Linked DNA regions of Oryzias latipes. Each later gene encodes a partner of the first gene's protein in a complex. Links are inferred from orthologs where the notes say so. Each region holds a gene or a part of one and is shown in the gene's direction. Other genes may lie near its edges.

Region 1 (4,209 bases):
GCGGGCCTGCAGCTGCTTCCTGCTCAGCCCAGCTTGTCCAGTGTGAACACCACATGTAAAAATGAGCGTCACATGCCGGGTGTGAACGTAGCCCTATGAAGTCAATGTAATATGTTTGTGTACCTGAAGGCTCCAAGGCCATGGGAGAAGATGACTACTGGACGCTTTCCGTCCGGTTTATACGGCGCGTCTAAGAAGGCCGGGATCTTATAGGACCCTGGAACGAATGAAACACAATCGAAAAGAATGAATTGTGATAATCTGTAGATTTAGAAAAAAAAAAGTATCGTTTTTATTTATTTACCAAAGAGGTATTTAAAAATCTGTTCACTGAGCCTCCTGTTGATTTTCATGAAGTCTCCCAGGCCATTAAAATATTCCTTACAAGGGACCCAGTCTGGTTTTTCTGCCTTTTCGGTCTCCTGGCAAGGGTAGTAGAGCCTAAAGAAGGAGCCCTGTTGGAGGGACGGAAACAAGATCACAAAAACAATTTTAGTTCCACTGTTTTAGCAGAAATTCTAGTAATTCCAAGATTTACATGAGTGTTTATTTACCTTCACTGTGTGGTCCATCATCAAATCAGTGCACCCCACAGGATTGGGGCCATTCCCTGCAGGGATCCCAAAGTTACTGCATGAGTTCCCCATGGCAGCGAGCCAAGGCGAAAACCTCTTCCTCTGCTCTGCCTTTAGACGCGTCAAAGAAAACTCGATTACCCTAAAATGACACCAGGACTGCTGTTAAGTGTCGGAAACTTCCGCTCCTGTCTTCCACAGGCGGACAGGTTCCCTTACCCGACTTTGACCCACTCGTAGAACCTCTTGACGACAAAACCTCCGAGAGGAAACATCCACGTCTCGAAAACTGGGCGAAACCAAAATGTTCCGTTTTTATATCTGGACGCAGGTGAACGGTTCGTCTTAAGGCGTCAGTTTCGTAACATTCCTGCGTTGTTTATTGTCTTGTGCCAGTCTGAGTCACCTGCGAGCTTTTTAACCGCTTCATGACTTCCAGCAGCTGTTAGCATGTGACGGGGCTAAACGCTGCGCGGCTATTGCACCATCCCCAGCCCGTCGCTCCGCCTCTGCTCGCGGGCAAAACCTCATCCAACCGAGGCGTGACTGGTTTATATGACTAATGCACGGAACAGAATAGAGTCGCCCACTCACAGTTCTAGTATAGACGGGTTACTTCTTGTCATCTGTTTCTGCTCACATTGGGTCAGCTCTTTTAAGAACGGCTCCGACTCCATCAAAAAGTTTTATTTTAATAAAAAATACCTTTTCCCCCCATAAATATATATTTTAATTATTTACCAATATTAGCCAGCAATTGCACTTAAGGTTAAGTATGTTCGCTAATTTTTAACGAATTTATGTAACATTGCTGGGTTTGTTTTATGTGACTCCAAGCCTGTAGGGGGCAGTAGAGAGCGAACTTGGGAATCGAACAATAATAGAAATATGGCGTGTTAGCTAAACCTGCTACGTTAGAGTCATTTATCCCTCGATACTTTAAAGAAATGAAATTGGTAAGTCAAAAACACAAATAAAGTGTAAACTGTTAATCTTTGAATGTTTAGAAACTATTACAATCCACGGGAAACTATGTAGCAAGAAAGTAGTATTGACTTTGATGGAGATAAATAGCTTATAGTACTACTTTTCCAACAAACATAATACAGTCTTGGACATTTTATTTAGCTTATTTGTTTTGCTTTTTGGCGCAACTGTTTGCATTTCGTTTAGAGACAATTTAGCATAGTTACTATACTTGTAGTTTTATTTACTCTGCACTGACTGGCTTTTCAACTAAAAACGTATTTTCCCCCCTCAGTACTGTTTGTCAGGTCATCCTACATTGCCTTGCAATGTGCTCAAGTTCAAGTCCACCACTATCATGCTGGACTGTGGACTGGACACTACATCTGTCCTCAACTTCCTGCCTCTTCCTCTTGTGCACAGGTGACTGCCATACTTATGCACTTTTACATGCATGCTTTAGCATTAGACTCGTTAAACCATGATATTTGATTTATTTCTGCAGTCCCAGACTCTCCAAGCTCCCTGGCTGGATTTCAAAGGATGGAACAATAAATTTGGAAAAGGTTTGAAGTGTGATGTGTAAAAACTGGCTCACATATACCTTTTGTTTTTTTTGACTAAAATTATTCTTTTTCATCTTCCTAGGAGCTAAAGGAATGTGCCGGAAGAGTATTTGTGGACTCGCAGCCTGAGTTTTGTCTACCTGAGGTTGCTGGTTATCCATCCTTAACTGAAATTTGAACTTTGTTTTTTCCATTTTATCTTTAGATGTAAAAGTCTGCAGCTAAAACATCAAAGGAAACCAAACCTGCTCTCCATCAAATGTTTATATATTTAGGTTTTTTTCTTTTTTTTTTTACATCTTTTAAATACAGAAAGAGTTATTGGATTTGTCAACAATTGATGTCATCCTTATCTCCAACTACCACTGCATGATGGCCCTGCCATACATCACTGAACACACTGGCTTCACAGGGACCGTGTACGCCACAGAGCCCACCTTACAGATCGGGAGGTAAATATGGAGACAAACTAAACTCCAGTAAATATTATGTGAACCAAAATATCTTTCATGCTTTGAGTTTTCTTCAGACAATTGAAAATTTAACTTTTTTTCTGAAGACTGCTGATGGAAGAGCTGGTGAACTTCATGGAGAGGGTTCCTAAAGCTCAGAGTGCCACCTCATGGAAAAATAAAGACATGCAAAGGTTAGTCTGCAGCAAAATGGATATTTAGATCATTCAAATCCTACTAGCTTCAGCTTTAGATGTGCTTTTTGTTTATCTGTTTGACACAAAGGAAGGGGTGAAAAAAGGTGGTACAAACATGTAAAAGATTGTTGAGAAGTGTCAAATAAACACAGTTCATCACTGAATAATGTTGTAACATCAGGCTGCTTCCGGGGCCGCTGAAGGATGCGGTTGACGTGTGGACGTGGAAACGATGCTACGGCATCCAGGAGGTTAACTCAGCCCTCAGCAGAGTGCAGCTCGTGGGTTATTCCCAGAAAGTGGTAAAAAAAAAATCTGAAACAACACATTGTTCTTGCATGTGAAAATAAATACTAAAAATACATGTCTTACTGTTTTTTTTAAAGATTTTAATCTACCATTTCAAAAAAAAAAAATTAACTTCTTTCCAGGAGCTGTTTGGAGCTGTGCAGGTCTCCCCGTTAAGCTCTGGCTACTCACTAGGAAGCTCCAACTGGATCATCCAGTCCCATCATGAGAAAGTGGCGTACGTGTCGGGTTCATCGCTGCTCACCACACACCCACAGGTACGAGGAGGAGAGCCGAGCAGCACAGGAGAAAGATTAGGAAAGATGAAGCCCCTCCATGTTTTTCCAATATAAACACCACGTGGCTAAAAGCATACATTCTTAACATGCTCCACATTCCCGGTGCGTTCGTAGCTTACCATTTAACATGAACACAGCCTTCTTCCTCTCTCGGTTACTGAGAGCTTCCACTAGCTTACAGCCCCTCAGAGCCACAACCTAAAATTAGCGGTGCAACAAAAATGGTGAGCAATATGTGATCTATCCAGCCGTACAGTTTAGATCTAGATTCCAGCTCAGACGGGGAAAACAAAGATGTACATGAATCTAAATGTTTGACAGCGGATCCATCAGAATGGAGCGGAGCAGGAAGCTTGTGGCCCACCCAGCGTGTTTTACAGAACAAACGCGCTCTTTTTCAAACTGAAGTTTTGTCTGCTGACTCACAACGATTTGACTAAAGGAATACTCAGAAATGACATTTTATGCTTTATTTTCTTAATATATGTTCCCATCATCAGAAAAGTGCCACAATTTAATCAGAGTGGGTCCTTAAGCAGCTTTTTTGTGAATCAAAACAAGAAACCAGAGCTCAGTTGTTTTCTGTGAGGAATGTCCTCCACAGTTTGAAACGATTCCAGTTTCTTCTTTCACAGCCGATGGACCAGAGCTCCTTAAAGAACAGCGATGTTCTCATTCTGACTGGGCTCACCCAGATGCCCACAGCCAACCCAGATGGCATGCTGGGAGAATTCTGCAGTAACCTGGGTGGGTTTTCCAAACCTGATTTTTTTTTTTTTTTTTTTTTTTAAATGTGTGGAGCAATCTTCTTTATTCCTGTTGATGACCTGCAGCCATGACGATCCGGGCGGGAGGAAACGTGTTGG
Region 2 (4,247 bases), on another chromosome or scaffold:
GTTGGCAGTTGTGAACAGGTTCCTCTTCACCATGGAAATGATTTTGCCATCATCCACCACTGTTGTCTTCCGTGGACGTCCAGGTCTTTTTGCGTTGCTGAGTTCACCAGTGCTTTCTTTCTTTCTCAGGATGTACCACACTGTTGATTTTGCCACTCCTAATACTGTAGCAATTTCTGGCATGGTTTTTTTCTGTTTTCTCAGCTTAATGATGGCTCCTTTCACCTGCATGGAGAGCTCCTTTGACTGCATGTTGTCTGTTCACAGCAAAATCTTCCAAATGCAAGCACGAGTCCTCTAATCAACTCCAGGCAGAAACAAAATTAGAAAGAATGTGTCTCTGTCCAAATATTTATGGTCCTGACTGTATATGTAGATGCAGTTTGGTCTGGGTCATCTTGTACTGCTAGCAACAAATCCTGCCTTTAGGTGTTCAATGATGGAGTCAATTTGACAAGACTGTAGGTATCTTTTTTTACTGCCATCACATGTGTGTTGCCCACTGTAATGGCACTCTGTCAGTTTTTATGTTATAGTAAAATACACCCACAAGGCCTCAATCCAAATGGGACTTTCCAATATTGATAATAATCAATTTATTTCATTTTGAAATGATTTCATAGGTCGATTCAATTAACAGCTTGCGTCAGAAAGATCTGGTTGGATCATAGGAATAAAATTCGATTTTAGTCAATTAATCATTACATCCATAATTTGTTGGCAAGGTGCACCACCTGTCACCGGGGGGAAATGTCTGATAATTAATGTTGCTGTTTTTCTGTAACATATGGCAACATTGACCTGAAACTGTAAGATGATACTTGGTGTTGTGTTGGGGGGGTGTCATTTTTGTGGCATCTTTTTGCCTACAAACACAACAGCTGTTCCTTTCATGTAAAACTGCATAACTTTGATGCCCTTTAATGCAAAGCATCACGGTCTTTTCATATTTTCAAAACACACATAAAGACTTTTTGTGTTTTTCCATCCTGACAACCAAAACAAACCTACAGAGACGTGATAGAGTGTAATTGCACCAACCTCTGCACAGGCTTTTAAGCAGGTCTTTTTGAAGCCCAGCAGAGCTGCTACATCCTTCCTGGAAGGGTCAGCCTCGATGCTCTTGTCGATGATGTGTCTGAGGACCACCGCCAGTCCGGCCCTGCAGATCTGCGCGCTCTCATCCAGAGCAGCGGGGAGGCGGCAGCTGCTCACCAGTTTGGGCAGCTCGTCCACCTGGACGTCTGAGAGACTTGCAGATGCTGGAAGCTGGCTCTTCAGAGGCTCGGAGCTGCTGCTGTCGCCAAGGACGAGAAACACTCTGAAAGACTCGCAGTCGCAGTAAGACAGCAGAAACAGAACTATAGAAGAGTGCAGGGGAAGACGCAGCTGCTCGTTTTGGCTGCAAACTTCTAAGTAGAGGCACGGGGGTTGTTCGGCGTGTGTCATGGTAAATGCTGTGAATGGGAGAAATATGTTTAAGTATTTTTTATTATCACTATTTGTCTTTTCAACTGCTAATAATGCCATAAAACAGTCAGAAAGAAGTCATACAGACCGGCTACTTTACAAACATCACGTTATCAGCGTGCTGCTTTTTCTTCTTCTACTACGAGTTATTGAGTCGAGTATTGCCACAGCGCCACCAGCTGGTCGTTAAAATATATACATTTTAAATGCATTTATTGATAGAAAGTCGGTTAGAATAAAACTTATTTAAAAATACGAGTGAAAAAACAAAAAACAAATTCGCTTTGCTATTACGTGAAGTATATTTTTTGTTCTACTTGCGCCGCCCACTTAGATTCCGGACACATTTATCGGGTGCACATTGTGAAAGACATAAAACGTCAGCGGCGATTTCCTCTTTGTGGAAAGAGTTCTATTAAACAGAAATATCTACAGCAGAGACCAACATTTTGCAGAAACTGAGTGTGAGGTAGGATTACCCATTTAAAGCTATAGACTGGGGATTTTGACGTGTTGGTGACATTTGGGAAGATAACTTTACCTACGGTGTCGCAGTGATATTGTTCCGTCCATCTGCTACCAACGATTACTTTAAACCCTACCAACTGGATTTGAGCATTGTGGGTTGTTTTTAATAGACACAGGCATCATATTTCTTTATATATTTGTAGTAAATAATGCAGAGGCAGGATTTCTTGTAATAAATACCGCAAATAAGGAAAAATAGCTGGTTAGTCTTAAAAACGTTCCGTTTTTGTGTACCCATTATTAGGCAAAACTCTTAAAAATGAACATTTTTATTGGTTGCTGTATTTTTTGTTAGTTTTGACAGCCTATAGTTCATTGTAAATTGCTTTATTTGATTACAATTGTAATTAGCAAACTATAACTTTGAATAAATATGCTCATCATTGATATTCATTGTTGTAAATGCTCCCAGACGCCTATAAACATGTGTGACTGACTTAATAAATGTTTGTTTTTGTTTTTGTTTTTTATTATAGTTAGTATATTTAATTTGCAATCTAGATAAGATGAAATAGTTTTGTATTGTAGCAAAGTGTACATTTGTAATTTGCAGACGTCAATGAAAACCTAACATTATTCAATCATTTTCTAACTAGGCCATGGCTGGACCTGTCAGCTTGGAGTTGGACCCCCTTTTTTTAAAGGCTCTGGGTTATTTGCACTCCAAGAACAAAGATTCAGCAGAGAAACTCAAAGCTTTACTCGATGAGTCCCTTGCGAGAGGAGGTGACTCCTCCTACCGCTCATTACAAAAAGTAAGATCCGCTTCTTATAAAGATAGTCTTACGCTGTCAGTGATAATTCATTCGTATGGAGCTTATTGCTCCTCTTTTCTGCTGTGTTCATCTTTAGGACTTGGAAATGCCAAAAAGTTCTGTGTCCAAACTGAGCCTGACTAAGCAAGACTCAAAGTCTTTGAGCACTCCATCTTCCAGCAACAGTGGAAGTTCCAAATCCAGTTCAGAGAAGAGCAAGAAAGAAGCAGAGAAGAGGCCATCAGAGAAGGTGGGGGATTAAAAGTGTTGTCACATTATCATGTATGTTTAGATGACACCATGTGCCATGATTGGACTGTACTCATTAATTCTCTTCAGGATTTACATTGATTCCAATTAAAGCTGCAACAATTGTCAATCATTAGAATTTAGGAATAAAGCCCTGAAGAGACATAAAATATTGACAAATGCAAAAAGAAATGACAACACTCAAAAAAAAAATGTTTGGAATAAAATTTGAGACTTTTTTTTAACACCAGAAAAAGGATGCCTGATCAGGGAAAGAGAAAAAGAAAACATACATGGGTCATTATTTTAACATATCAGCAACTTAAAGGTTGTTTTTTTTTATGAATAATCGAAGTCTTGATTTATGGCTTTCCTGGGTCTTGTAATTGAATATTATTACTTTATTTTATGAACTAAATGATGCCACAGCGAGATGAACAAGTCCATTTCTAACAAACATGTACATCCTTAGTTTAAAATAATAATAATAGACATTGCTTGGGACTTTCTTCTCAATCTGTGGTTATTTTAAGCATAACAGCTTGTGTGATTGAACACCAATGTTGGTATGAATTTTCAAATTTCATACGTTCTCTGTCTCATTGACAAATAGATACGGGTGGAGTTGTCTGAAGTGGATCCTCCAAAAAAGTCCCGCTTGGAGAAACCGGACAATCGCTCGTCCCCTATAACTGTTCAGACGAGCAAGGACCTCATGCCCAACATACACGACTACGATGAAACTAATGCTGACGACTTTGCCATGGAAATGGGACTGGCTTGTGTGGTTTGCAGGTGCTTGTTAATTATCAAATGAAATGAAATGAAACTTTGAGTTTCTTTGTTATTTGCACATTTTTCTGGTTTGTGGATCCAGTTTCTCTTTCTACAACGTGCGAGTTGGTATGAAATTCTCTTCACTCAACTGTTTTTGCGTCTGCGTTTCTCTGAACTGTAGACAAATGACGGTGACCATGGGAAACCAGTTGGTGGAGTGTCAGGAGTGTCATAATCTGTACCACCAGGACTGCCACAAGCCCCAAGTGACAGACAAAGAGGTCAACGACCCCCGCCTTGTGTGGTACTGTGCTCGTTGTACCAGGCAAATGAAACGCATGGTGAGAGCTGTTCCTGTGCTCGGGTATTGACTCTTATAGTGATCAGCTGGGAGTCATGGCAACAGGACCAACAGTCTTCATTAAAGCTAATGATTTTTGTGTGTGTGTTCTCAAGGCGCAGAAACCT
Region 3 (4,166 bases), on another chromosome or scaffold:
AAATAAACTGAGCATAAACCTGGATTATGTTGAATATTTAAATAAATTAGGGGTGCACATAGACTTTTAGAGCTCAAAGAAAACAAATGTATGGATCCCTGAACTTAAGGAGAACTGAATTTTTATTTCTCAAGTTTTCTTTTTTTGTGTGACTTAAAATTGAAATGAATCAGTTTGATTATCTGCAGAAAAAAAGTAAATCTGTAATTCAGGCTTTGAAATGAGAGTCACAGCTGTGATCGTGCTTCTCCTCCAGGCATCAACTGACTGAAAGAACTCACTGCAACGCCACGCTGGTCCTGAATCTGCAGAAGGAGGACAACGGCAGGAGGTGGAGGTGTCAGGTGGAGACCAAGCCAGGCGAAATAGAGACTCATTGGGACTTCACCTCCTCCTTTTTGTTTGAAAACACCTCCTCCGCCCGTGTTCTGCAGCCTCCTGCTGACGGCTTGTGTTCCGTCCGGCTGCCCATCAGCCGCATTGTGTTGTGTGTGGCTCTGCCGCTCATGGTCGGCATCGTGGGATTGGTCACATGGGTGTCGGATAGAAAGAGGAACAAGATGTTAGCTGCTGCTCTGCAGCATGACACCATGGGAATCAATCACTGACCTTTGAGATGATGTTTCTCCCAATGACACTATTCATTTTCTTCACTCTTAAGCTTTTATTCCTAACTTAACAATCTGCACTTCAGCTTTCATCTGAGTACATTTTACTGTTTTTTTAGTTGTCTAGAAAAAAACTTGATATTTGAATGTAAACAGTGTAAAACTTTACAGGCCCTCATTCTCTCTATAATGGAATCATGTGTTTAAATTTAGAAATTTGTAGATGGTTTCAATATTTTGTTGTTAAATACTACCCCTGTCTTTCTTAAGGTAGCGCGGATTACTGGATTTAACTGTCTTAACTGAAGTGACTTATTTGTTTGAACACATGTTTATACAAGTCAGAGGAAATTTGTAAAAAAATACTTGTTTTTTTTTATCTTTATATGCAAACAATAAAAAATATCATCAGATTTTTGGCTATTAGTGCTTTTATTTTATTGTTCTTCTAAAGTTGCTTTATAAACATTTTGCTATTGTTTTCCAAATTAAAATATTTTATGGTGATTTCAAAGATGTTCTATTTCTTGGCTTGTTCTAAAATATTCATGTTTAATGCACATAATTCATTAATTTATTCGTATTCATTCGTATTAATTAATTTAATTCTAAAGTTAATATTTCTAGACAAGGAGTTATTTTTATAGGCCAAAGAAATATTTTAATATTTTATGAAAAAACTGAAGGGTGTCTTGGACATTCATAGACTGCGGACTACCCTGAGTTCTCCACTCCCGGCTTCCGTAGGAAAACAATGCATTTTCACAGCTACGGAAAGTGTAAGGGGACAATTCTGCGTTTTGAGGAAAGAATTGTCTGTGCGTACCTACTGAAACATGGCAGCACATTTGAAGAAGCGAGTGTACGAGGAATTTTCAAAAGTCGTTCAGGTAAACGTTATAATTGTTTTGTTCGTCAGCTTGTTTTTGTGCGCAAGACCTTAATATGAAGCTAAAAACTGCGCTTTCAAGCTAACAGGACCGTTTGCGCATGCTAACTGATTAGCTGACTGAACAGCAACAGGAACCCGTTGCAGCTTCAACAACTCAACACACATTAGAGTTTGTACATGTTTGGTGACTTCATTTAAGGTCAAGTTGTGGAGCTGACTTTCTTTAATGTCACAAATATTTGGCCAATTGCAGCCTAGCTAAAGTGGTTAGCATCTGATATAGCTATAGCAGTCGTTCAGCGGTGCTTTCAGATGTCCTCGGACTTTTATGTGTTTTCTCCTAAAATTTAACTCTTTTTAAGGCCCATTAACTTGGGAATCAGACGTGGTTCAGATATTGGTGGTCATCTCTATCAGCCAGGTTTTTTCCTGTATGTTCAGGAACTAGTAAGACAGAAATCCATTCTATTCATTAACAACATACCCACATATTCATTAAAACAGATTCTATTTTGATTTAAAATGTTGCAGAAATGTGACTTTATACTTTAACTGGTTGCTCTGTGAATCCTGTTCATGGCTATATGTGAAAAGCTCATCAGATTCAGAGGGGAACTGTTTTTGTTTTTTAAAGTTTTTGAGTATCTTTATAAAGCAGATTTTATGAAAAGAATCTAACTCTTTTTAATTAAATTGTTCTCAGATGTTGAGTAGGAAAGGATGTTTAGGTGGTAATAACACATGTTGAATATATTTTAAAAAATCATAAACATTGATCCTGTCTTTGCATTTTTTGTAATAACCTTTAATCATTTAAATAAAGATTGAAACGTTTTCTATGTTTTTTTTTTTGTTTTTTTTTGCATAAATAATCTTCACTGTCATCGTGTTTTCAGATTCCTCATGAAGAAGCTCCGGCCAAGAAGCTGCGTCTGTCCAAACCCAGCAAGTCTGCTGCGCTGCACGTTGACCTCTGCAAAGCCACCAACTCCACCGACGCGCTGCAGTACCTGCTGCAGTTCGCACGCAAGCCCGTGGAGGCGGAGAGCGTGGAGGGCGTGATCCGGATCCTGCTCGAGCACTACTACAAGGTAAACGATGATAATGATCAGCAACAATGTGATTTTTAGAGCCGCTATGACCCTGAGCAGGATTCCACAAGACAAGATGATGAATGGATGTTGGAGATGTGGGCGGGGCAATGGTCGTTCTTTGGAAAATAGATTTCTAAGATTTAGATTTGAATGTTTATTAGTATAAAATGTGAAAAGAAAGTTCTAGTTGCTTTTAATTTTATAGAGGCGTTACTTTTTATTCTTACTGTAACATTTCAATTGTTTAAATAGTTCTAGATAGTTTCTGAATATTAGAACTCGACACCTTTGTTTGAACCGAGAAATGCGTCACGCCAATGTGTCTCATGTCAGGAAAACGACAACTCTGTGAGGCTGAAGATCGCTTCTCTGCTCGGTCTGCTGTCCAAAACCCGGGGCTTCAGCCCGGACTGCATCTTTGATGACGCCATCAACACCCTCAGCAATGAGAGTGAGACACACTCCATCCCTTTTTATTTTCATCAGACCTCAACTGTCCTCTCTGTCGGCCTTTGTGGCTTCATGTTGCGTTCAAAGACCCTTTACTGTCTCTGTGGACAGACTCCCATCAAGTCCTCGCTCAGCTGTTGGGCACTCTGCTGGTCATCGGGACTCAACTGCCAGAGAGTCCTGCAGTCAGACTGAGGCTGACCGAGGTGGCCTGCAAGGTAGCACACACACAAACACACACTCACGGGCACACAAGCACACGCAAATGCAGATGCACTCACAGACATTTACATATATAAAAAGAACACACACACACACACCGATGCACGCACTCATACTCATGCATTTACATACACACATTCCAGCATCTGATAGTTGTGGTCGTCTCCTCTGCAGCATCTGTCTGATACGCACTTCGGGGTGAGGAACAAATGTCTGCAGCTGCTGGGAGGTCTTGGCGTGGCGGACGCTCCTCTGCTTAAAGACGGCGAGGGATCGAGCTCGTCTTCAGGTCTGAATGTCTTAAAGAGGAAACTCTGCAGGCTGTTCAGAGCTTTTCTTCTGAAGCATAACATGACAGCCGTTTGGGTCAGGATGGGTTCTTATTATGCCTTTGACTTGAACAACAGGAGCTGTGAGAGAAGTTCAGACCATCATCAGCGATTACTTCGCAGACCAGGACCCCAGAGTCCGCACCGCAGCCCTGAAGGCCATGGTAGGTCACAGCGGAGCATCTTTACCTGCCAAAAACCTCCACACCGGACGCTGAACAAAGATCCCACGAAGTGCATAACTAATCTGAAGACTTTGTTTGTTTCAGCTGCAGCTTCACGAGAGAGGAATGAAGATCCATCAGATCATCTATGAGCAGGTAGGAGCTCAGGTTTATAGTTTTCACATTTAGGTCAGATTCTGAGGGATTTGATGCTTTGGAACAGAAAACATGGAATCAGTGAAGAGATTTCAGATTACTAGGTTTCACTCACAGCTGAAAAATATGTTTATTTCTTTATTTAACAACTAGTTTTAAGATACTAATTATTTTTTAAGTGTTGCACCTTTCCAGCCAGTCAGAGGCCGGGCCCATATAAAAACATATGTAGTTCAAAGACGTAGGGGTTT
Region 4 (4,237 bases), on another chromosome or scaffold:
CATGTTAATGTTACTTTTACTTCCTTAAAACATCCTTACACAAATATTTCTGAAAAAGAAAACACATTGACCAAATTTGGATTTGATTTGACAGACGCCCTGAAATTCTGATGATCAAGAACGTGTAATTTAAAGTTTGAAGTCAATTTATAAAACAAGAGAGAAGTCACTGTTATATTTCAGACACACCAAATGAAAAAATGACTGTTTTTGTCTTCAGAAATGGATCTGAGATGGCAGATTTATTTTTATAGTATTTTTAGAATAACGATAATAGAATTAGTCTGCAAAGACTTTTTCTGCATCATTGATTTCTTGACAGTTTCAACAGACTTGTTGATGTTGAAGTAAGGAAAATAGTCTCCATCTACCTCTAGGGGTTGTTGCATGTAATTACATGGGCATTGTATCTTCATCCAGGTTTGCATTGAAAAGATTGAAATACAATCGTGCTGGTTATAAAAGCCTCTCCGTGTTCCTAAGAACAATCTAATATTGACAGACTGATATTAAAACTACATATACACACTTATTGTACTAAAAGATATGAATCCCAGTGTAGATTTATCCTAAAACGAAGTGTTGTGAGTCAAGCATCACAACGCCTGAAAATGAAACAAAGCTGCTTATGAACAAAGTGCAACCATCATACAAGAGGTAATCGCAGTTGTTTAAGCAGTATCCGCTTTCTACAGTGTCCTGTTAGGGCAAAAATACGAAGAGACATTTTCTGACTGATATTAACCCAGGGAAAGAGGACTAATGTCAAAACACATCAATGGTTCAGTACCTCTATTTTAGCAATGTACCCTCTGTAAAATATTTATTTTCTTCCTGGAACCGACTAATCAGCACAAGACAGTTTTCCGTACCTTTCATAAATGAAGTGTTTCACACAGGAAGACAGAAAGTTTTGGGCTATTTTAAATTAACATTAAGAAAATAAATACATCAGTTGTGAAGAGAATTAGCAGCATTAAGATAAAAATGTTAAAAATAGAATAAAATTGTGGTGCAAGATCTTTGGGAAAGAAACAAAGCTCAAATCATGTCTAATTTATGTGCCAAATATTTTATAAAGGGGATTTCTTATTAACTATAACTACTGGGAAAAAATAGCTATAAAAATGATTGGAGATAATCACTATAAAAATAACTTTATTGTAAATTGACTGCATAAACATCATTAACAACTCAATAAGTCAATAGACAAAAAGTCACAAAACTGACTATTTAATTTATTATTAAAATGTGGTCAAATTTTTTGTTATGGTGAATATCATGAATTACAAGTTTGATCATTTTTTATTATTTGTTCAAAGCATTTTTATAAACTGCCTCTGCTCTGATGTTGTGTGCCACTGGAAGTACACTTGTTTGATGGTCGGTAGTCAGTACAAACTTCCCGCCGCTAGATGGCGCTACTTGCATTTTTATTGGTGAACGGTGACTTTAATGAAAGCAGAAGAAGTTACCGCTGCTCGCTCCCCAGTTTATTCCGTCTCCGGTTGAGACGATTATTGTTAAGTTTTATGTAAAGAGCTTTGTTCAGGTTAGTGATAATTCGTTTCAATAAACAGGATTATATTTATATAACCTTTCGATAAGACAAAAGTTAACACCAGTCACGTTTTTTGCCACATTCTAAACGGGTAAATGTAGCTAAAGCTGTTATAAGCTACACACTCTACTAGCCTTGTTTTGATTAGCCGCTCGCGTTTGGTGTACTGTGTACTAGTAGTACGGATGTAACAAGCAGCATTTTTTGAACTAAAAAAACGGAGTATGTCTATGCTACTGCCACATTTAATATGCCAAACAATGCATAATTTGCTTTATTTGCAGGATTATTTTTTTTTTGCCAAAGAAAGAATGATAATCTGTTCATCCTGTCGTGGATAACTTGATGATTTTGATCAGAGAAGATGAATCGCCCAAAACCAACAACTCTGCGGCGCCCAAGCGCTGCCAAATCATCGGGTATGATCAGCGGGAAAACACGAAGTATTGTTTTTGTAACGTAGCATCTATATAGCTAAAATGTGACATTTGACTGTCTCAGGTCATCCTCCACCTGGAGATTTTATTGCTTTGGGCTCAAAGAGCCAAGGTGTTGAGCCCAAAGCCCCCGCTGTTCTCCTGAAGCCAGCTTCATCAGGAATACCTACAGACCGGAAGAGAGAAGCCGCCTCCACCTTACCCTCTTCCTCGGGTCTGTCCACCCTCACCAAACGACCCAAATTGTCCACCACCCCTCCTGTGAGTGCACTTAGCCGCTTTGCTGATGTGGCTGCGGTAGACAAGAGGGCTATATCGCCTTCAATAAAAGAGCCATCAGTGGTACCAATTGAAGGTAAATTAACCATTTACTTTATGGTACTGAAAGATGTTTTGAAAACCCACTCCAATGATGTTTTTGCTGTTTTTATCATGATCTTGTGGTGATTTTCTGATGATGGAGGACATATATTAAAAAAGAAAGCTCAAAATTGCATTTCTGAGTATTTCTGTACTCAAAATGTTGTGAATCAAGAGTAGATGAAAAATGCTGCTCGAAAGAGAGCTTATTTCTGACAGAAGGTACACTGGCCACTTGCCATTCTGACTTATCCAGTCATACACAACTAGATCCACGTACGTTCGTTTTTCTCCTCTGAGCTGGCATCTGGCTCAAAACTGTGCAGCAGGATAGCTGCAAGATTGCTCATCATTTTTGTTGCACCAGTAATGTGAGGTTGGGGGTGTGAGGGGCTGTAAGCTAGCAAGCGAACGTGTAAACAGAGAGCTGTCAGTAACGAAGAAGGGAAGAGGAGGCAGGTTACTTAACGCCAACGGTCCCACCCACCACTCATAGGTGAATTTCTAATAAGCTCCTGAGCTCCTGGGAACGCTTTTAAAATAGCTTAAAAGATGATCGGAGTGGGTCTTTATGACATGCAAACTGTCAATAAAACAGTTAATGGCAGATGTAAAAGTATAATAACCTCTCTTTGTTTGGACAGTGTCCCCAGCTCTTCTTCTGGATGAGATTGAAGCTTCAGAGTCTGAAGGAAATGACGATCGCATTGAGGGGTTACTTTGTGGAGCAGTGAAACAGCTAAAGTTGAACAGAGCCAAACCTGACACAACGCTGTACCTCAGTTTGATGTTTCTGGCTAAAATCAAGCCAAATGTCTTTGCCACCGAAGGGATCATTGAGGTAAGACTCTCAGATGCATGTTTAACACCTACACAAATGTTGTCATTAAATGCTTTTGTCTAACCTGTTCCTTTCGGCTTTAGGCTTTGTGCAGCCTCCTGCGTCGGGACGCTTCAATCAATTTCAAGGCAAAAGGCAACAGCCTGGTTTCTGTGTTAGCTTGCAATCTGCTCATGGCAGCATATGAGGAAGATGAAAACTGGCCAGAGATCTTTGTCAAAGTGAGAATGTTAATGCAGGGCAGCCTGACTATTCATATTTCATTCTTCAAGCTTTTTTTTCTGTCATTTATGATTTTTTTTTTTGTTTTGTTCTAAATTTAAATGTGATTTTTTTTTTTTTTAGGTTTACATTGAGGACTCACTGGGGGAACGAATCTGGGTCGATAGCTCTCACTGTAAGAATTTTGTCGACAACATCCAGACTGCTTTTGGCACCAAGATGCCTCCAAAGAGTATGCTGCTGCAGGCTGATACCGGCCGCACAGCGGGGGATCTCAGTGCAGGTAGAGTTGAAAAGGTTGCTAATTCCTTGAGAGTTTGGATGCCAAAAAGCACATTTTTATTTATGGATTTATTGTGGCTGTTCTAGGTAGCAGCCCTCATCCGTCCACCCCAGACGAAGATGACAGTCAGACTGAGTTGCTAATAGCAGAAGAGAAGCTCAGTCCTGAAGATGAGGGACAAATTATGCCAAGGTATGAGTAGATAGATTTTTACTTTCGTTAACTGGGGTAAATTATGTTAAAGGATTCTTTGTACTAAAAATAATTGGTGGGAAATTTTGTGGTTTTTTTTTGTAACCTTGTAGATATGAAGAACTGTCAGAAAGTGTGGAGGATTATGTCCTTGACGTCCTGAGGGATCAGTTGAACCGCCGACAGCCGATGGACAACGTTTCCCGAAATCTGCTGCGGCTTCTCACAGCCGCATGCGGCTACAAAGAGACCCGACTCATGGCAGTGCAGAGGCTGGAGATGTGGCTCCAGAACCCAAAGGTGAGAGTTTTGATGAAGAACGGGATAAAAGCAGCACATAA
Region 5 (4,197 bases), on another chromosome or scaffold:
TTCTCCAAAGCTTAACTTCAAAGAGAATCATGTTTTCACCTTTTGACAAACTGAACCTGTCATTTTGTTCTACAAGAGTATCCACGTCCAGGCTTTAAGAACCACCGCCCTCCGTTAAATCCACTTTTCCTGAAGCAAAAACTCACTTTTTTATTTTTTAGACATTTTGAAATTGAGCTGGCGGGCAAACAATAAAGGAGGTCAGGGGTCAAAAGTGGTCCCTGCACCTGGAGACAGACCCTTGCTCTCCACGCTCAGGATGGGCCATCCACTCAGCATTTAGAGAGAACGGGAAGGAGAAGAAGCTAATGAGGGAAACTGCTCTGGAAGGCCACATGTGCAAGAAGCACCTTGTGGAGTTTAACCAGTTAATCGGGAGGACGGTTAATGCTCGCCCACCTCCTGGGACTTAAGGAGACCAAAACTGACTCCCCAGACCTGAACAGCAGGTTGACTTGGAAAAACAAGTTTGCATTTTGCAAAAGTTCTGGTGCTTTCAAGATCAACACGTTGATTTTGACCAAGACCGTGCCATGATAGAACTTTGACATTTTTTTCAGGGTTCTTAATCCTTAAATTTTTGTTGTTATTTTTTTAAATCAGCTTTAAATGTCAGTGACCGGCCAGCTAAAATATTTGAACCCCCCCCCTCCAAAAATAAGAAACTCACTCACTTGACAAGCCCACTCCATCCAGCCAAGTAATGCTCGAGAATCACCTCCTTAGTGGGTGACAAGCTCAACTTAAAAGCGTCCAGCTCCTCCTTAAAGCAGAAGTTCTGGTTCTCTGATGCGGCGGGCCCAGCCATGATGATCGTGATCTAGTAGGAAGTGCTGTCCACAACAAGCAAACAGCGGAAAACGTGGATGACGTGTGCGCGCGACCGCCACCAGGGAGCTACAGCAGGCCGGAACAAACCGATGACAAATGTCAAAATCGTTCCCTGACACAGGCGAGCAAAGTGAAAGAAAAATGAAGCATCCCTCCTTTTAACTCCGACTATGACAGGTCACTCTTATCCGCCTCTACCGCGCAGACTCAGACCGGCAAATACAGGAAATTCTATTTGTACTTTCAAAATAAACTGATATATCCGTAAAATTTAGCAGCAATAACATTACAAAAGGAGTAAAACTCTTCAGAACAAACTTTGTTTTGCTCATTTCAATGTTTAAGACTATGTTTGGTTACTAACTAACATGCAAAGAACTTTTTTCCATATTGTGAATAAAAGAAATCTAGATAGATGTATCGTATATGTAAGTAGGTTCCTGTTTCAGTTAACTGCTTACATATACATTTCATATTGAGATGTTAAATATATAAAGTAAATCATACAACATTTCAAAAAATGTAATTGACAGGTTTATCTTTTGAAGTACTTTTGACTTCTTTTCGTCGGCTCTTCTTTATTTTGAAAGCGTAAACCGGAAGTTTTGTTTTTGCAGATTAGCTAGTTGCTTCTTTGAAAAACAGTATGAATTGTTATTTGTAAAACCTCAATACTTTAAACATTTGCTTTTCTTTTAGTTATAATTGACCAAAAGGTCGGGAAACGTTGTCGTTTTCGTTCACCGGTTGCTCCGGTTAAGACAACATGCCTGAAATTAAAGTAACTCCTCTGGGTAAGTCCAGCAGGTTCGGTTAGCATGCTAGCACGTCATTCAGACAAATGTCTTTAAAATGAAAGTTGTAGTTCTTAGTGGAGTTTTAGAAACCAAAGCAAACAATGTGTGTTTTTGTCGGACCACGCAAACTGTTGTGTGTTAGCTCCGTCCTACGTGTTGCTAAACGGACAAAGCTGCTCATATAACCATGAGTTTGTGTGTGGATTTATTGAGCGCGTGCGTGTTCCTCCAAGGTGCTGGACAGGATGTGGGCCGCAGCTGCATCCTCGTCTCCATCGGAGGCAAAAACATCATGCTGGACTGTGGAATGCACATGGGATACAACGACGACGTGAGTGAACGACGTTACCATGGCAACAGCAGGCCCCTGTCGTAAAGCGCTTATAGGTTGAGAGAGCTGGTACTCACCGTTTATGGGGACAGATGGAAGAGTCTCCGGTCTGATGTGAAGCAGAGGCCGGACTGAATGAGTGAAATTGTAAAAAATAATTAAACGAATACACAGAGTTGAGGATTTAGCTACCGTGGACCAGGAAGAATCTTCCAAAGGATGAAGTGAGATGAAACGACAAACCCATGGAGGAACAGGACTCAGTCTAGGAAGGATGACAGTGACGTGTTTTTTTCTTTTCTTCTTTTTTTACGAGGTTGCATCAAGTTTAAAATCACTTACAAAATACTTTTTACGCAGCTCACTGTACAAAGTGTTCAACAAATAAAAAATGAAACTATAGTCACCAGTCGAGGTACCAATCTAACTATTTCAGTATACCGCGTACTGTATTCATTTAAATGTGTTAAAAATAAAAGAGAGAGAACTGGTGTGCTGCGAGAGTTGGCTTATAGAGCAGAGCAAAAGGCACTGGGATGGTTTGGACATGTTGAAAGAGCGTTGGTGAAAAAGGTGTACGAATCTGATGTGAGTGGAGTGAGAATGAGAGGAAGACCGCGAATGGGATGGACAGAGGGTGTAAAAAGAGCGCTAAATGCAAGAGGGATGACTGTGGTGCAGGGGAGAGAGGCTGCTCAGGACAGGGATGGGTGGAGAGAGTTTGTGTATGAATGAATGGATGGGTGGGGTAGAGGTCTGGTCTTGGTATGAAGCGGCAAGGGGAAACCAGCCTTGGCTGAGGCCCTGCTGTGGAGGTGCCCACACTGGGCTGTGCAGCTGACCCTGGTGCAGTGTGGTGTGGCTTAGGCCAGGCCTTAGACCAGTCACACACACACACACACACACTGAAGGAGGAGGGTTTGGGGAAGAGAAGGAGGGAGTTAAGAATGTGTGCCCTGTCTAGGCTACCCCACTTTGGTGGGACACAGCCTGGGTATATAGATATAGTCATTAAATGTTTTTAAAGTCCGACTCCAGTCATTTTTTGATCTGTTGTAAAAGCGTCCCCAGTGATCTTTTAATCAAGAATATGCTGGTTTTAGCCAAAATAAAAAAAATAAAAAACGGTGTCGTTTTCTAAGACATAGTTTCTGAAGAGCGGCAATAGTTCATCAAAATTAGCCTCTGAGTTCTGGGCAGGACTGTTGGTGTGGAGTTGCCCCGCCCTCACTTTCTTATCATCTTTTTGTTTACACTTTCTCCCACTCTCAGTGGCGGTTTTTGATATGGGCAATGTGGGCGGTCGCCCAGGGCGGCACTTCGTGGGGGGCGGCATTTGGCGTGCCCGATGCGTGCGTTACGCTTGCAGCTTTTAATTTGAAATTGCTTCAGCTGCCGACACTCAACACTTTTATTTTGATACATCAGACTGTTAAGAATGTCTTCATCCTATTTGATCTTCACACTTATGGTGCAAAAAAAAAAAAAAAAAAAAAAAAAAGATGAAATAACTCAGAGTGAAACAACGTAAAACAGGCACATGAAAAGGAATTGGGCAGAACAAACACCCATGCTCAACCAAATTTCGACAAAAGCAGGCAATGGGGATTATTTCCCACAATTCCTTGCTCTGACACGGCAGACCCGACACGCACGTGACCACCGCCTTCTGCTGCAAGACATTTGCGGCCACACCTCTTTGCGGCAGTCTTTGGAACATAAGTCAAAAAACTCGAGAGGGGGGCGCAACTCACCGGTGGCTGAATCACACTAACAGGTGATTGGGAGTCTTTTTCTATCTGACAATCAACTCTGAGCCGCAGCTGCGCCTCCCGTCATAGAGACGGAGCCGCGTGTGTCAGAGGGAAGGGGAGGGGGGGGGGGGGGGGGGGGATGAGCGCAGACCATTTTTTATGGACTGAGGTTTTTTGGAGGATTTCTACTGTTGGTGTTGCACAAAATTAGGGAAATGCCAAATATTTTTTGAATAATCCCACTGATGAGTTCTATGATTTATTCTTTAATGTTTTATAAGACCTAAACATATTAATCACAATAAGTTTTATTTTTTAGATCTAATCCCTCTGATATGTTTCACAAAGACACACACAGGACGTCACACATTAAGAAATTATTGCTAAAAATGGAGCAGGAGTCCAGCTCTAAAAAAATGCTCTAAAAAATGATGAAAGAGCAAAAAAAAACGGAATTATTTGATTTGTAATTTCTTATTAATAT
Region 6 (2,496 bases), about 6.7 Mb from region 1:
AAATCTGTATTTTATTGTCGTCTTCTTTCTGAACCACCACAGACTGGCCTCACCTCACTGGTCAAGTTGCTCAAAGGTCGACCGCATCTCAGCCAGGCAGCTGTGGATTTCCTGCTGGGCCAGCTCCACTTATCCTGTGACTCGTCCCGCACTCTCATTTGCCACGCTCTGGCGGCCATTGCCACTCACCTGCCCGTGCTGGGGGACGGCATGCTGGGGGATCTGGTGGATCTCTACAGGGTTGTCAGTCACTCCTCCACCGGAGAACAGCAAGAGCTTCTGGTGAGAGATGGCAATCAAGTCACGCCTGATTTTCTGTTAACTTGCGTTGGATGTGGATTTGGTTCAAGATGACATTTTTTGTGGATTTTCTATTTTAGGGTCACTTCATTTAATTGTTCCTTAACTATGGCCAGCAGCAGTCCTGGACTGCGAGGAATAGATTGTTTTTGCAATTCTCTTTTCTTACTGCATCTGGTCAAAATGTATTTTGGGCATAGAAAGTGGAAATGTGGGTGTGGTTAACAAAAAACCTTTGTAGCTAAGGAAATCCAAAAATTACATAGACCTGTTCGTCAACCCCATGTGACCAAAATAATGAATAGTTGCTATAGAGATGAAATCAATAAAAATATTTTGGGGAAAAAATCATTTTTTAATGAATTTGTCATGTGCAGTTTTGAACAGAGGGGCAGAGTGAAGGGGTTTAGCAGCCACTCAGCCATTGAGGGCAGGTCAAAGGGGGCTGCAGGGGCGGGTGGCGCCTACAGACCATACAACGCCATGCGCAGCTTTGGTTTTCTTTTTTATCTGCCATTTTAAACTAATTCACATAATGTGGCTGCTACAGGTTTCCTTGGCAACAGTGATTTTTGTTGCAAGCCAGTCATCTCTTTCAGCCGAGGTGAAAACTGTCATCAAACAGCAACTGGAGAGCGTTGCTAACGGGTGGACGGTGTATCGCATCGCACGCCAGGCTTCACGGATGGTGAGCTTCTATCGAAGCAGCGTTTGCGTGAAGCCATGAAGCCGGAAATCAAAGCTCCTTGTGTTTGACCTTCAGGGGTGCCACGAGTTTTCCAGCGAGCTGTACCAATGTCTGCGGACGCGTGTGGCATCTGAACACTTCTACTTCTGGCTGAACAGCCTGAAGGATTTTTCCCAGGCTGAGCAGTGCCTCACTCACGTGGAGGATGGAGACTACAGCGGAGCCATGAGTGCCATCGCCGAAGCTCTTCGCTCCTACCAAAAGGGCATCGCCTCCCTCACAGTCGGTTAACTCCCAGGCATCTGCTTGTCATAAAACATTAATGTAGTCCACGCTTCCCTAGGGACTTAAGTGTTTTAGGTTTTGAAAGTCATTTGGATGTTTATGTATTTTGTTGACGCTCCTTAAGTCATAAATGAGTAATATTTGTGAGCGTTTATCTGATGCATCTGTCCCTTTAGGCTGCCAGTACCCCTCTGAGCCCGCTTACATTCCAGTGTGAGTTCATTAAGCTGCGCATCGACACTCTGCAAGCCCTGTCGCAGCTCATTTGTACATGCAACAGCCTGAAAACCAGCCCCCCTCCTGCCATCGCCACCACCATTGCGCTCTCCTCCGGCAACGAGCTGCAGCGGTGCGGCCGCATCTCTCTGCAGGTTAAAGAAATAGATTCTGTTTGGGTGAAACTTGTGGAGAAAAGAGTTGGGAAGTTCTGCTGCTAAGTGGAAATGCATTGTGGGAACAGATGTTGAGGGTTATTAACTCTGTAGTTTGACTAATGAGCCTTTTATCTTAACGTTCCTCCTGTCCGCTTTGACATGTTTTTATCTACAAAATGTGACGAAAAGGAGTTTCCTGTTAAAATGCAAATAAATTATGAAAAAATAAAAGAAATCTTGGTGCTGACAAGCAAGATTTATGAGATTATTAATGGTGCTTCTCTTCTTTTTTCCAGATGAAAGTATGCATGGAAGAGTTCAGAAGTCTCGCCGCTCGCTATTCAGATTTACACCAGTCATCTTTTGATGCTGATTACGCCACCCTTCGTAATGTGGAGTTGTATCCTTAGCATTGGACTGAAGTCTGTCTTAAAAAGGTTTTCCATTTTTGCTCTCTACTGTGATTGACTTCACCTTAACTGTTTATGCAGACAACAGCAGAGCTGCCTGCTTGTTTCACATGTAATTGAAGCTTTGATAATCGACCCACAGGTAGCTAGGTGAGATTCACTCTTATCATTTGGCCTTCAAAAGAATGCACATTTCTATACCTTAGTCTATTTAAAAAAAAAAAAATTCTATTGCATATTCGTCCCAGTGTAATTCTACTGGAAGACCTTACTCTAAATATTTAAACATATCATTATTTATGTGAGAAAGTGAACTAAGAAAACATCTGGCATGAGGATGTATGAAGTTAAGATGTCACACCGCTTCTTGTGAACTGCAGTTTTCAGGAGTACGGCACTCTGGGCTCTGTCCAGACTGAGAGTGAATATGAGCGCAGAA
Region 7 (4,036 bases), on another chromosome or scaffold:
AATGGTGATATTAAACTAAATCAACAGCCACTGGAAGGTTTACCATTCCCCTAAATAGCAAACATCAGAAAACAAACCAAAATAATGGCAAAGGGTTGGATCTATTGTCAGAGTGGTTTATAATTGGAATTAGTTTAAACTCATATTCTTACCTTTTGTTTAGTTGCTGTTCAAAGACAAAGTTCTTTCAGTACATTTGCAGCAAGATCTTACTTTATACCGGATGCATTTTATTTTGAAAGGAATTTGTATGCGCTGCTGTCAAAAGGTATATAATAGTAATGTAACACTGTTATAATTATATTATTCCAATTTTTAAAGCTACTTTTTATGAATGAATGGCTTGATGGCCACAAAAAATGTGATTTTTTTCTTCTTTTTCTTTTAACATAAACAGAAAATAAACAGAAAAGTGAGGCTCTCACTGGGTTTTGGTGTAAAATAAACTGGACCATCATGTGCTTCTTTCAGCACTAAAGCTTGCAGACCCCTGATCTATCTGCTTCACTTCTTCCTTTAAGAGGTAGGTTCTTTGGTTAATCTGTAAATTACTTCTGCAAATGTAATCACCCAAGTTCAGTTTAAATAATCCTCCAGACAATTTTAAGTAGTCTAGATTATATGAAATCCATTTGGATGCTGTGTCTCTATGTGGTTAAAAAAAAATGTGAGCTTTGTTAATGCCATGAAGTATATTGTGAAATAACAAAAGAGCATATTTAATTCAAACCTTTCAAAATGTCACAACAAGACAAGAGTAGTGACGTAAATTCATCAATTTATATATTTGTCAAATTGACTTAAAAGACAACTAAAGATGCTAATTTCCCCTTTAACTCATCGACTTAAAAACTGACGGTATAGCATCTGGTATGATGACTGAATGAACGGCGTTCATGATCATGATAGACAAGAAAACCGATTGTTCGTGTGTTTCTTGGTTGATAAAACCTTCCAATTAACTCTGTCGAGACTAATACGGCTTAACTAGTCCATTCTTTCGCCTAAAGAAAATGTCAAACTGACAGCATCTGCAAATATGTCAAAAGCAACGGTCCGTCTAGCTTTTTAGCTAGCAGTTAGCAATAGGCCTACAGCCGGCGCTTTTCCTGCTAGCGCTTACCCTCATCCTCGACATCATCTACGAAGTCCTCCGGGTCGCTGAAGGAAGGCTCCTCCTCCTCCTCATACTCTGGGTCGTCCACCATATCAACTGTATTTCGCATTTAATGGGACTGCGGTTCTGAAAAACCTTTACAGAGGCGCAAAATCCCGGAAAATGAGAGGCTAACAACGAACGACCGGTGAGGCACCATGTGCGAAAATGGACGAAGAGGCGGAAACGTGACGCCGGAAGCGGGTCAGAGGCGCGTTTACGGACCATCGTGAAATCGCAAAGTTGTAAAACAAATGGAGGAGCGACAACAACGAATGCTCAATTAGATTTACTGCATCGAGATGAATACAGATCGAACGGTAGTAGAAGCTACTTTTGCTAGCAACATAAGGGGAGTCACCTGCCAGTAAATTGTTGAAAACTACTTCTTTTTTAGAGTTACTCGCAATATGTCTCAAATACTGACTACAAAATTGCCACATGAAAGTAATTCACTTTTTATCCATTTACTTTTATAAAGGTTTTTTGGTTTAGCTATATGATTTTCGCTTTTGATGAATTTCAATATCGACGATTCGAAGGTTTGAGTTAGTTATCGTGACGTGAGCTCCAAACTTGGTGTATGTTGGGTTTTCCCGGCCATTCTTCAGTATGGATGGAGACTGTGTGTCTCTCCTGCCGCGGGTCTGTGACGTTCTGGCGGCCCCGAGAAGCTCTTTGCCCGATGATACAAGCCTGGAAAAACTGCTGGACTGGTTCACAACATTCAGCAAATCGGGTTAGTTCTGGGAGCTGTTCCCCATACTACGAGTTCTTCCCAGCCAGTCTGGCGCAGTTTTCTTTGTTTATGTGAATTCAATTTGGCCGGGATATAATTTGCACATAAATTCCTGGAAATATTTGAAATTTAAAATTGAAGTACATTTAATAATTATTTATGAAGAGAAGTAGAAGTTCAGGTCCCATTAAAATCATCTTTTGATCAGTTGTAAAATACTTCCCAGTGGTCTTTCAATTATGATTATGCCTTTTTTGGTAACAATTTTAAAGGAAACTGTTATTTTTTTAAGGACATAGTTTCTGCAAAGCAGCAAAACCTCTTAGAAATTTGCATCTGAGTTGGCGGAAGTAAGCTTCTGCTGATTTCCCATCATCCCTTTGTTAACACTCTCTTCTGGTGGCTTACAGCCCCTCACAACCCCAACCTAACATTATCTGTGAAACAATAATAGCGAGCAATATTAAAGCTATCCATTTCCAGGCATACAATTTTGATCCAGATAGACATGGATTTCTTTGTCTGCATGTGGATGCATCAATGGAGCAGAGCAGGGAGCTTGTAGCCCACCCATCTCACTTACTGTGTTTCAAAAGATAGCTTTCTCTAACGACATTTTGTGTGCTCCTGATTCACAACGATTTGAATAAAGATATACTCAAAAAATGCCATTTTAGTTTTCTTTTGTTTATATATGTGTTCCATCATAAGAAAATTACTACAACAACACGTTAAAAAACCCCAAAACACTATTTTCACTGGAGTGGGTCTTGAATGTTTCTGTTATCACACTCTTTGACTGTGTCTCCTCCTGTTGAAGGCGTGTCTCTGCTGGAGGTCAACCCATGTCTGCAGGGCTTCATATCAACTGTAGTTTCCAGCAGAGCTGCAGAGTCCAGCATCATCTCCTTTGCCCTCAAACTCACTGGTTTAGTGGCTGCTGCTGAGGATGGCTTCAGAGCTCTCCAGGTAGGCCTCATATCTCCTGCATTTCACCAACATCACACAGCCATCCACAACACTGATAATGATGATGATGCTCTCGCCCCCACAGGCGAACTCTGTCCTGGACCTCGCCTTTAACCCTCAGCACTGGCGTGAAGATGGACTTTGGGATGATCCTTGCGTCCGCATCGGCTGGATTCAGGGCTTCAGCACAATGCTGCAGCACAGACAGGCTTTCAGTTTCTTTGTTCAAGCAGGTAACTCGTCATAAAAGCTGAGCTCTCTTCCAAACATGTAATGACCGTGACAATTTTTGGGCTAAAAGTCACTCTGGTGCATAGTAAATAAGATACTATAAGATAATAATAACAAATTCACATATAAGTTGCACTAGAGTAGAAGTTGCACTTTTTTGGGAGAAATTTATTTTACAAAATACGCGACCAAGAACTGAAATTTCATCCTGAAAGACAAATCATAGGGATGAAATAGACAACAAAAATAGACTGAAAATATGCACACGCTTCACTACTGTAACACGTAGCTTCATGAGACATTGGAGGAATTGAATAATCTAGTATATTGAACAATCGTTCAGATAACCATAACATAAAGAGCGCACTAAAAAATCAACTAAACTCACTATATCACTTAAAATCACTAAATCTGTTGAATTCTTCATTATCTGTGTCACTTTGGAATAATTCTGCCCAAGCCCGCCGTAGACTGAGCGGCCCTACTTCTTTAGCGTTGCTGTCAGTAGCAAATACTGATACACACCTACACTGCCCTCTAGTGGCTGTTAGTGGAAAAAGAAGAAATACACAAGCATATTTATTTAACCCTTGTGCTATCCTAGGCACAAGGGTTAAAACAAGGGTTAAAAAAAATCACGTAGAAGTCACATCCCCGGCCAATTATGCAAAAAAAATAAAAAATAAAACGCGCCTTATACGCCAAAAAATGTCCAATAGCTGTTTATTTTTCAATAGACAATTGTGGGATTTTGGCTCCTTGGAGCCAGTGGGTACTTCCTGTGAACTCAATCCAGTTATCATATATAGTTGATATAACTATACTGCGTCATGTTGCAGCAGGAAACAGTTGGAACTACAGATCTTATAACTTGATACCATCTTGTACTTCTGGTAGTGTCATCATCTCCCTTTAATGCTTCTTTCCTTAGACTCCATCAA

The links.
Region 2: ints9 (region 1) and ints12 share a complex: the UniProt entries of both Homo sapiens proteins name them as parts of the integrator complex. The link is inferred for Oryzias latipes from reciprocal best matches to the Homo sapiens genes INTS9 and INTS12.
Region 3: the proteins of ints9 (region 1) and ints4 are in contact, whole or in part, in a cryo-EM structure (PDB 8RC4), measured with the Homo sapiens proteins. The link is inferred for Oryzias latipes from reciprocal best matches to the Homo sapiens genes INTS9 and INTS4. Residues at the interface, in NP_060720.2 of Homo sapiens: Lys2, Tyr4, Lys18, Ser21, Thr22, Leu43, Val44, Gln45, Glu87, Glu89, Leu90, Asp92, Asp97, Thr122, Glu145, Arg146, Val147, Pro148, Lys159, Glu174, Ser176, Thr177, Ser192, Gln195, Phe206, Gly207, Ile379, His380, Ser384, Asn385; in NP_291025.3 of Homo sapiens: Leu53, Gln54, Leu57, Gln58, Arg61, Lys62, Pro86, Ser87, Leu90, Lys91, Ser94, Gln125, Gln129, Asp132, His164, Gln207, Asp208, Pro209, Arg210, Arg212, Asp244, Tyr245, Glu246, Gln247, Trp296, Phe837, Gly840, Leu841, Val842, Val843.
Region 4: ints9 (region 1) and ints1 share a complex: the UniProt entries of both Homo sapiens proteins name them as parts of the integrator complex. The link is inferred for Oryzias latipes from reciprocal best matches to the Homo sapiens genes INTS9 and INTS1.
Region 5: the proteins of ints9 (region 1) and ints11 are in contact, whole or in part, in a cryo-EM structure (PDB 8RC4), measured with the Homo sapiens proteins. The link is inferred for Oryzias latipes from reciprocal best matches to the Homo sapiens genes INTS9 and INTS11. Residues at the interface, in NP_060720.2 of Homo sapiens: Glu127, Gly198, Tyr199, Ser200, Gln201, Lys202, Tyr231, Glu338, Phe339, Ile342, Phe343, Glu345, Gln352, Lys354, Val355, Tyr356, Leu357, Pro358, Glu359, Pro360, Pro361, Arg511, Arg512, Tyr513, Glu514, Lys515, Ile516, Glu517, Ile518, Met519; in NP_060341.2 of Homo sapiens: His94, Gln97, Ala98, His137, Leu138, His139, Gln140, Thr141, Lys274, His277, Tyr278, Lys280, Leu281, Phe282, Ile283, Pro284, Trp285, Arg291, Phe294, Ser449, Pro450, Ser451, Ile452, Pro453, Val454, Gly455, Ile456, Ser457, Leu458, Leu461.
Region 6: ints9 (region 1) and ints7 share a complex: the UniProt entries of both Homo sapiens proteins name them as parts of the integrator complex. The link is inferred for Oryzias latipes from reciprocal best matches to the Homo sapiens genes INTS9 and INTS7.
Region 7: the proteins of ints9 (region 1) and brat1 are in contact, whole or in part, in a cryo-EM structure (PDB 8UIB), measured with the Homo sapiens proteins. The link is inferred for Oryzias latipes from reciprocal best matches to the Homo sapiens genes INTS9 and BRAT1. Residues at the interface, in NP_060720.2 of Homo sapiens: Gly276, Met277, Gly279, Glu280, Cys282, Ser283, Asn284, Ala286, Leu287, Arg290, Asn291, Tyr315, Asp317, Ser318, Ala319, Gly320, Ser483, His484; in NP_689956.2 of Homo sapiens: Ala406, Pro407, Cys416, Pro460, Gln506, Lys507, Arg508, Cys510, His511, Pro512, Arg517, Glu545, Leu549, Gln552, Asp556, Pro557.

What each region holds. Positions count from the first base shown.
Region 1 is NC_019882.2:12,966,197-12,970,405, reverse strand, and holds the start of ints9 (integrator complex subunit 9), read left to right. Parts: upstream 1-1,409; 5' UTR 1,410-1,522; coding exon 1,523-1,531; intron 1,532-1,836; coding exon 1,837-1,964; intron 1,965-2,046; coding exon 2,047-2,107; intron 2,108-2,189; coding exon 2,190-2,252; intron 2,253-2,419; coding exon 2,420-2,559; intron 2,560-2,666; coding exon 2,667-2,753; intron 2,754-2,937; coding exon 2,938-3,058; intron 3,059-3,187; coding exon 3,188-3,322; intron 3,323-3,978; coding exon 3,979-4,090; intron 4,091-4,176; coding exon 4,177-4,209. Other genes in the region: pla2g7 (platelet-activating factor acetylhydrolase), read right to left, coding at 124-217, 305-455, 555-717, 795-850. UniProt on the Homo sapiens protein: Component of the integrator complex, a multiprotein complex that terminates RNA polymerase II (Pol II) transcription in the promoter-proximal region of genes.
Region 2 is NC_019859.2:15,819,744-15,823,990, reverse strand, and holds the start of ints12 (integrator complex subunit 12), read left to right. Parts: upstream 1-1,447; coding exon 1,448-1,450; exon of another isoform or gene 1,451-1,457; intron 1,458-1,558; exon of another isoform or gene 1,559-1,714; intron 1,715-1,820; exon of another isoform or gene 1,821-1,939; intron 1,940-2,594; coding exon 2,595-2,753; intron 2,754-2,850; coding exon 2,851-3,003; intron 3,004-3,615; coding exon 3,616-3,797; intron 3,798-3,960; coding exon 3,961-4,120; intron 4,121-4,235; coding exon 4,236-4,247. Other genes in the region: gstcd (glutathione S-transferase C-terminal domain-containing protein), read right to left, coding at 1,042-1,449. UniProt on the Homo sapiens protein: Component of the integrator complex, a multiprotein complex that terminates RNA polymerase II (Pol II) transcription in the promoter-proximal region of genes.
Region 3 is NC_019871.2:2,461,128-2,465,293, forward strand, and holds the start of ints4 (integrator complex subunit 4), read left to right. Parts: upstream 1-1,366; 5' UTR 1,367-1,444; coding exon 1,445-1,498; intron 1,499-2,396; coding exon 2,397-2,591; intron 2,592-2,927; coding exon 2,928-3,045; intron 3,046-3,155; coding exon 3,156-3,262; intron 3,263-3,440; coding exon 3,441-3,555; intron 3,556-3,673; coding exon 3,674-3,759; intron 3,760-3,864; coding exon 3,865-3,915; intron 3,916-4,166. Other genes in the region: uncharacterized protein LOC105355351, read left to right, coding at 257-608. UniProt on the Homo sapiens protein: Component of the integrator complex, a multiprotein complex that terminates RNA polymerase II (Pol II) transcription in the promoter-proximal region of genes.
Region 4 is NC_019866.2:7,350,569-7,354,805, forward strand, and holds the start of ints1 (integrator complex subunit 1), read left to right. Parts: upstream 1-1,437; 5' UTR 1,438-1,552; intron 1,553-1,845; 5' UTR 1,846-1,925; coding exon 1,926-1,980; intron 1,981-2,062; coding exon 2,063-2,353; intron 2,354-3,002; coding exon 3,003-3,199; intron 3,200-3,282; coding exon 3,283-3,420; intron 3,421-3,544; coding exon 3,545-3,704; intron 3,705-3,790; coding exon 3,791-3,896; intron 3,897-4,009; coding exon 4,010-4,196; intron 4,197-4,237. UniProt on the Homo sapiens protein: Component of the integrator complex, a multiprotein complex that terminates RNA polymerase II (Pol II) transcription in the promoter-proximal region of genes.
Region 5 is NC_019865.2:23,481,376-23,485,572, forward strand, and holds the start of ints11 (integrator complex subunit 11), read left to right. Parts: upstream 1-1,397; 5' UTR 1,398-1,597; coding exon 1,598-1,625; intron 1,626-1,861; coding exon 1,862-1,959; intron 1,960-4,197. Other genes in the region: cptp (ceramide-1-phosphate transfer protein), read right to left, coding at 675-808.
Region 6 is NC_019882.2:6,289,669-6,292,164, forward strand, and holds part of ints7 (integrator complex subunit 7), read left to right. Parts: intron 1-42; coding exon 43-282; intron 283-850; coding exon 851-988; intron 989-1,063; coding exon 1,064-1,270; intron 1,271-1,449; coding exon 1,450-1,644; intron 1,645-1,943; coding exon 1,944-2,047; intron 2,048-2,138; coding exon 2,139-2,207; intron 2,208-2,437; coding exon 2,438-2,496. UniProt on the Homo sapiens protein: Component of the integrator complex, a multiprotein complex that terminates RNA polymerase II (Pol II) transcription in the promoter-proximal region of genes.
Region 7 is NC_019859.2:21,374,036-21,378,071, reverse strand, and holds the start of brat1 (BRCA1-associated ATM activator 1), read left to right. Parts: upstream 1-1,236; 5' UTR 1,237-1,768; coding exon 1,769-1,895; intron 1,896-2,715; coding exon 2,716-2,864; intron 2,865-2,949; coding exon 2,950-3,097; intron 3,098-4,026; coding exon 4,027-4,036. Other genes in the region: eif3b (eukaryotic translation initiation factor 3 subunit B), read right to left, coding at 1,124-1,226. UniProt on the Homo sapiens protein: Component of a multiprotein complex required for the assembly of the RNA endonuclease module of the integrator complex.